Linked DNA regions of Daphnia pulex. Each later gene encodes a partner of the first gene's protein in a complex. Links are inferred from orthologs where the notes say so. Each region holds a gene or a part of one and is shown on either strand. Other genes may lie near its edges. The genes, in order: CCR4-NOT transcription complex subunit 9-like and CCR4-NOT transcription complex subunit 11-like.

Region 1 (3,527 bases):
TTTAGACTCTCCCTTCCTTAAGTCCAGAGCCTTGATCCGCATGCCGGCAGATAGTTTTGTAGCATGATTGAATTCACGTTGTTGTTAAAAACAAATAAAGTTATTTTGAATTTCAGTAACTTAAAGTCTTCCTCAGAATCCGACGAACATCTCTGAATATCTCTGAAGTTTCATGGCAATATCGGCCGGACGGGGAGTTCGTTAGGAGACAGCCTGGACAGACATCGAAATTTTTTATTAGATTTTCTATACGCTACTTTAAAGATGGAAAAAAGAGGTTATACGAAAATATCTTGATTGAAAGCTACTCACCTCATTTTAACAAGCGATCCACGAATCAAGTAGACCAAAATCCCGGAGCGGCTTTCCTGATCTAAATCCGGAAAAGGCATTAAAAATCTAAAAAAAATATAGCCACGTTCGTCTTCGCACGCCGGATTTACCTGCGTTTGCAGAATGACGATTTTCCCCCCCGTTTAGGAGTTATTTAGGTCTAAAGTTTGGTTTTATTGAATTTTGTCAGAAAGTGGGGGGGCTTTGACATCCATTTTCGAAAAAGTGGGGGAGCTAGGGAAAAAACTAATTTTTTGAAAAGGTTTATTGCAATCTCAACCACCAAAATCCAAAAGGAATTTCCTTTCCGGATTTTATTGGTTGAGATATTACCAATTTAGTGAAAGGATTATTTAGCTGGTTTCCCTCCCTGGCTTGCAACCATTTTTTCGTACGGTCCGCTGCGCTCCTGGCGGAAGCCAGCAGAAGGTCTTATACATCGGCCAATAAGAAATCTGGGTTCACTATATATGAAGGCCTGTATAAATGCAATGGGTCTAATGTGAAGGCCGATATATAAGACCTTCTGCTGGCTTCCGCCAGGAGCGCAGCGGACCGTACGAAAAAATGGCTGCAAGCCAGGGAGGGAAACCAGCTAAATAATCCTTTCACTAAATTGGTAATATCTCAACCAATAAAATCCGGAAAGGAAATTCCTTTTGGATTTTGGTGGTTGAGATTGCAATAAACCTTTTCAAAAAATTAGTTTTTTCCCTAGCTCCCCCACTTTTTCGAAAATGGATGTCAAAGCCCCCCCACTTTCTGACAAAATTCAAAAAAACCAAACTTTAGAGCTAAATAACTCCTAAACGGGGAGGAAAATCGTCATTCTGCAAACGCAGGTAAATCCGGCGTGCGAAGACGAACATGGCTATATTTTTTTAAGATTTTTAATGCCTTTTCCGGATTTAGATCAGGAAAGCCGCTCCGGGATTTTGGTCTACTTGATTCGTGGATCGCTTGTTAAATCTTACCTGCGACCTGCGCGTTTGTCTTTGTTTTTTAGTGGTTTTTTTCTTATGAAACAATGTTTGAAAGCACCACTAGATGCTGGTACTAGCACCTCGATGATTCACCTCCCTGATCCCTCCCTCCATAAAGGAATTTCGGCCACACCACTTCATGGCCATACATCAAGTAGACCTTGTTTGGGATAAGCAATAAAAAAATAAAAAACCACTCAAAAATGGCGACTTCTTTGGTGACATCCAACTTGCAATCTGTTGACCGAGAAAAAATTTATCTATGGATTACAGAATTAACAAATCCTGAAACTCGTGAAAGTGCTCTTTTTGAATTAAGGTATAATATACGAATTTTTCTAAGCGATTAGGATTTGTTTCACTTTATCGAAGCAAAAGGTCCCGGCTTGTTGTTGTGGATTCGGCTTTATTGAAAAAGCATTTGCCATTTTTACATTCCAACTACCAGCAACAAGTGTGTTGTCTTGTTAGGGATAAGGTTCCATTTTCAAATGTTTGTCGATTGTTTCAAACATTAGAGACATGATGTCTTCCACTAGCTTTTTATTAATTTTTCATTTCTTCCATGCAGTAAAAAGAGAGAAGTTGTTCCTGATTTGGCTCCTATGCTGTGGCATTCATTTGGAACTATAGCAGCTCTATTGCAAGATATTGTAAGCATTTATCCAGCAGTAAGTCCACCTACTCTTACTGCTCAACAGTCCAACAGAGTTTGCAATGCTCTTGCTCTTCTGCAATGTGTTGCTTCACACCAAGAAACCAGATCTGCTTTTCTGCAAGCTCACATCCCATTATTCCTCTACCCTTTTTTGCACACTGTGAGCAAGACACGGCCATTTGAATATCTTCGTTTGACCAGTTTGGGAGTCATTGGTGCTCTAGTTAAAACTGATGAACAGGAGGTTATCAACTTTCTTCTTACAACAGAGATAATTCCATTGTGTTTGAGGATAATGGAAACTGGATCTGAACTGTCCAAGACTGTTGCAACTTTCATACTTCAAAAAATTCTCTTGGATGAAACTGGTCTGGCTTACATTTGTCAAACTTATGAGCGCTTTTCTCATGTTGCAATGATACTTGGTAAAATGGTTTTATCATTGGCCAAAGAACAGTCAGCTCGTCTTTTGAAGCACGTTGTCCGATGTTATCTTCGTCTTTCTGACAATCCAAGGTAAGGGACTTGCAAAAACCAAAAAGGAATTTTCGTATTGATATAAAATTCGACTATATTTTCTAGGGCTCGTGAAGCGTTGCGACAATGCCTACCTGATCAGTTGCGTGATAGCACTTTCTCAACATGTCTTAAAGATGATAAGTCAACTAAACAGTGGATGGCGCAACTTCTAAAAAATTTGGAAACTACTAATGGAATGGTAGATCCCCGAATCACCGGTTTGCCCTCAATGACTCAACCATGAAATGTTAAAAAAGAATGAATGCTCTTGTCTTGTCTTCAGCGAAAAATCGATCAGAATTATAATACAAACTTGCTGTATTGTTTTTTATTGCAACTAATTTTGCGGTTTCTGCTGACTTATTATATAAATTATAAACACGTGTTTCAGAGAATGTTAAATTTACTTATAAGATGTTCATTTGAGGATACACGAAACGGTGATTTCATTTTTGTTCAGTATCAATACGCAATATAAATTTGAAGTGTTATGTAAAAATTAGGTTCAATTTACTAACGCGAAAGACAAGGCGAAAGATGTAGCACGGGGCCACGGGTGTAGTGTCAAGACGGTTCAAGCTATCTATCTCTGTTGCAATATATTTTGTGACGATAAAAATGTTTTTGTTAACTGCCACGATTGCTTTTGGTCCTAACTTTTAAGTCTTAGATTTTTAATTGGTCCAAGTATTGAAAAATTACTTACTATTTTGTATTTTTGCAAATAATCGAATATTATCTGAGTGCACTACCGTAAAATAAGAAATTAGGTCTGAAAATTAATGAATAATGGGAATGGAAAATAAATAATATCAAGTTCGTTCGCGCAACCCGCACCCTCTGAACATTCCAAGAGATTCCAAGCTGAATTTTTGTACATTTTATAGAAACAAAAAAACCTTGAATTGTATGCTTTTTGGCCGCTACGTGGTGTTGAGGGAGGTTTATAGACGCGGTCAACAGATGGCGAATCAAAGCTTCAAACGGCAGGTTCGACCGTTCATCTCATCCGTAAAAAAGCAAAAGAACACTAA
Region 2 (4,061 bases), on another chromosome or scaffold:
CAAGCCTGGTCGATTATGGTTGAATTTCACGATGTTACTTCCGGACTTTTGATTGCAGTGCATCAATCTTAATTAAACGTGGTGGAAGAGAATAGATATATGTATAATACAAAGGCTAAAAAGATCGATACATACCTGACGGATCACGCTCTTTGATTATAGGAGGTTGCTGCTCTATAGTTGTCGGTGCCACAGGACCCTGGAACATGGGGTAGAAGATTTTTGGCCAAAGGATGGCGAAACAGCCGATCACAATGGCCAAAACCACTAGCGTTTTGCCTTTCGAGAACTCCGGCGCCATTTTTTCTTAGACTCTGTCACTCTCTCTCTTTCTCCCACACGGAAGCTACTGAGAGCGGTTAGTAGAGAGGGGACAGAATAATGATTATACGGCAGGAGCGTTTGTGCTTCGTAGAGATTTCTTCGCCCTTTTTTGTATCCAGCAGTTGTGGCATCGATCAACGCGACTGATCCTCGGAGAGAACTGCGCACGACTATATTCAAGCGGGGGAAGCGGCAGCTCTCAGTTTCCCTCTTGGTACCGGAGGGCGGATCCATCCGCGTCGACGCAGAACACGTTTGCTCAACTCTCTCAAGTATATAAATATCACGTTCCCCTTTCTCTGTACTCTTCCTGCTCCCGTTCTTCGCAATGTTGGTTTCCTTTCAAAGAAATTAAGAATGATAAATAAATTAGTATTCACCAGTAAGCTTGGTTTCAGTATCTCTTGTAATTTACCTGAGTTGGAACACTAGTCAATATTGAATTATCATTGATCTGTTGGTTTTGTTGGTTTGTTTCTTCCTTTCGATGGCTTCAACCAATTTCCATTGTATTGCAACGTCGCTTCGACTCTAGGATAGTGCGACTTTCAAAATAAGAACAAGAAGTAACATATTATTATAAAAATATTAAAAGATTTCCTTACTAAAATTATGCAACTTCTAACTAGTGAAATATCTACGTGCGTGTCATTATTTTAATCTTTTGATTACATTTTAAGCAGAAAAAAGTAGGTTGAAAAACCGATAAAATCATGTAAATATCTGGAGGAGCGGGAGGAGCCAGTCGAATTCTGTACAAGGTGAATTGGACGAGAACTAGAAGCATACTAGAAGACTAGGAAGTCTTTCATTGAACACAGTACAAGATATTCAAGTGATATTATAAACTTATCTCTACATGACCACAAACAGTAACATTGAACATTTTGAACTATTGCTGATAAACGCTTTCTTACCATCCTGTGCATGTGTTTTTTCACTGTAGTCGGAACTCTCAGGCATTTCAGCAGGACCGATTTCCCCGTGTGTGAGATTTTCATTTTTTGGTTTCAGTTGTTTCACGCCTGGTTTTCGTCTGCTTGCTTGCTGTTCTTCTTGCCACAAAATCAAAATAAGTAAACACTAAAAATAAATAATTAAATACATTTAGACGCTAACAGCAAAACGAGCAAATTCATAAATGAATGGAGTCCAATAAAAAAGCGCAAAAATTGTAAATAACGGGCAAATTACCCGCTTTGTGTTATCATTTTGGCTTGGCAACCTTGCATTCATTCAATGAAAATAATTAAATAACAAATAAAGAAAATGTCGGCATTGTCTGTCAAGGATTTGAATCAATTGCTTACGTAATTATACTTTAAGAATAACATATTTATTCGTTTTAATGGTCTAGGTATCTAATGTCTTAATTTTGAAGTATCTTAGATGCCGAGAATGTCGCTAACCAGAGTGTCGAAGCCTTGGCTTCTCAGTTGGGGGTCTTTAATAAACAAGAATACTTTAAAGGTATTATAAAAACCACTCGATTTTAGAAAAAAAATACGTTAACTAACAATTGAAAATCAAATAGTTGGAAATGCATTAGTTATGCTACTTCAGAATGCTGATCTGCTTCCTTCACCATCACAACGTCTGGCTGCAGTGTTATTGCTACATGAGCTTTTCAAACCAGATGCTCAGAATTTCCATCCATTCTCCTCAATTTTTGTGCAACTTCTTGTAAGTAAATATTATGTTGTTGTACATTCACTAGTAAAGTTATATTTTAAAAATCATTTTAAGGCTGATGAACCTCTACAAACCAAGAGACCAGATTCATATAGACTACTACCGAAACTCAGTCCTCCAGAAAAGATTTATTTATCTCATCTCATTACTAATCCTCAAAAAGAAGTATGAAGTGTTTTAAAATGTCATAGATTTTATTTGCTTAATTGAACTGCTATTGCAGATGTACAAAAAAACTCTCCGACAAATATTGAATTTTGACTCTACCAATTCAATGGCTGATATTTCAGCCCTTCAAATAAGTGTGACAGAGCGCCTTTCAGAGTACACTTTAGCAAGCAAAAGCAGAATACCTGCTGTTCTTTCAATGCCTGATGTTCGTCCCGGCTTTGACCCTATACTTCCGGATAGTAGTGCAATCAAGAAGACAGCAGAAGCTCTAATTACTGGTCCCAACGCCGCTATACAAGAATCTGTGGGTCCCGAGTTTGTGAGGTTAGCTCCTCCTCTATTTTGTCCGGACGAACTCGTCTGGATCGATCCAATTGGGGAAGTCGACCACATGATTGCTTACGACACTACAGTTTGCATACCTAGAGGTGCCGGCTCGGAAGCTCGGCGATTAATTTCGCAAGCTTTCACCGGTTCTTTGACTTTGCTACAACAAAACAGATTGCTAAGCGAATTAGAGCGCGATTCTCGTCTAGTCTATCACGTAGGAATCACTCCTAACAAAGTAAGCTATTTTGATTGTTGGTTTTGCATTTTCGCATTTGAATAATGCTTATTTTCGACGCAGCTACCTGCCTTGGTAGAAAACAATCCACTCATCGCAATCGAGGTGCTACTTCGACTGATGCAGTCTTCCCAAATAACGGAATATCTGAGCGTGCTGGTTAATATGGAAATGTCTCTGCATTCGATGGAAGTAGTCAACCGATTAACGACGGCTGTTGAGTTGCCAACTGAATTTGTCCATCTGTACATTTCCAACTGCATATCAACGTGCGAAACTATCAAAGATCGTTACATGCAGAATCGTTTAGTCCGACTTGTGTGCGTCTTCTTGCAGTCCCTCATTCGCAATAAGATTATCAACGTCCAAGTAAAGAACAAATCATGTCGTGTTAAGTTTGTAACGTTTCTTTACAAAATGTCTAATTTTTCATCTTCTTAAGGAGCTGTTTATCGAAGTGCAGGCATTCTGTATAGGTTTCAGTCGAATTCGCGAAGCTGCTGCCTTGTTTCGTCTCCTCAAACAACTCGACAGCGGTGATCAGAGTGGACTCAACAGCACTTCATCCATCGCATCCTTTCCTGGGCTGTCCTCACTCTCGACATCTTCCTTCAATCCTCAGGCATCACCTCTGGCATCAACTGCCAAAGGCAAAGGCGAATGAAAGTCGTTATTATTATTGTTGGATGTTGCATCGTATGTTCGCGTCTCAACTATTGAAACAACAGGCTTATTGATACAGTATATGCTATGGGAATCGAGGGTGAAGAGTTTTGAATATGATATATACAATTCACGAATTGTTTGCTCTTTGATCGTTTGAACCTTTCTAGAAAAAATTAGAGTGTGTACAAATTCGTCGTAAGAAGTTAAGGGTGGGTAAGGTTTTCGGTTTTAATTTTAGTTTTAAGCAGAGAATAATAACGGGAGTTAAATTAGGACACAATAAAAACCAACGAAGTGCAAATCTAGTTCATCATGTCAACTTCAAGATTATCGCTTCTTGTAACATTATTATGCATTTTGCCATTTTCCCCTAACGTGTGGTCGATTGCACAAAATCATGAAAAACAGATAATGAAAGCTACAAAGTACAAAGGGATGTACTACCTGAGCTAATGAGTGAATGTGAGTAGGAGATCGCTGATGAAAATTGAGGTCAATGATGAAATTGTAAGTTTCGAAAGTTATAGGTTGACAAATGAAAATCTAGCTGGCAATCGGTGAAAAAGTTGCCTCTACAAAAAATGTTAAGCAACTCATTTGGAGATCGGATGGATCGATCGTTTATCAAAATTTCAGCATTCAC

What was found.
Region 2: CCR4-NOT transcription complex subunit 9-like (region 1) and CCR4-NOT transcription complex subunit 11-like share a complex: the UniProt entries of both Homo sapiens proteins name them as parts of the CCR4-NOT complex. The link is inferred for Daphnia pulex from reciprocal best matches to the Homo sapiens genes CNOT9 and CNOT11.

The regions. Positions count from the first base shown.
Region 1 is NC_060018.1:7,201,773-7,205,299, forward strand, and holds CCR4-NOT transcription complex subunit 9-like, read left to right. Parts: upstream 1-1,438; 5' UTR 1,439-1,519; coding exon 1,520-1,635; intron 1,636-1,887; coding exon 1,888-2,490; intron 2,491-2,556; coding exon 2,557-2,737; 3' UTR 2,738-2,834; downstream 2,835-3,527. UniProt on the Homo sapiens protein: Component of the CCR4-NOT complex which is one of the major cellular mRNA deadenylases and is linked to various cellular processes including bulk mRNA degradation, miRNA-mediated repression, translational repression during translational initiation and general transcription regulation.
Region 2 is NC_060019.1:7,971,439-7,975,499, reverse strand, and holds CCR4-NOT transcription complex subunit 11-like, read left to right. Parts: upstream 1-1,525; 5' UTR 1,526-1,593; coding exon 1,594-1,634; intron 1,635-1,705; coding exon 1,706-1,794; intron 1,795-1,858; coding exon 1,859-2,007; intron 2,008-2,070; coding exon 2,071-2,181; intron 2,182-2,239; coding exon 2,240-2,752; intron 2,753-2,815; coding exon 2,816-3,121; intron 3,122-3,194; coding exon 3,195-3,416; 3' UTR 3,417-3,557; downstream 3,558-4,061. Other genes in the region: titin-like, read right to left, coding at 136-301. UniProt on the Homo sapiens protein: Component of the CCR4-NOT complex which is one of the major cellular mRNA deadenylases and is linked to various cellular processes including bulk mRNA degradation, miRNA-mediated repression, translational repression during translational initiation and general transcription regulation.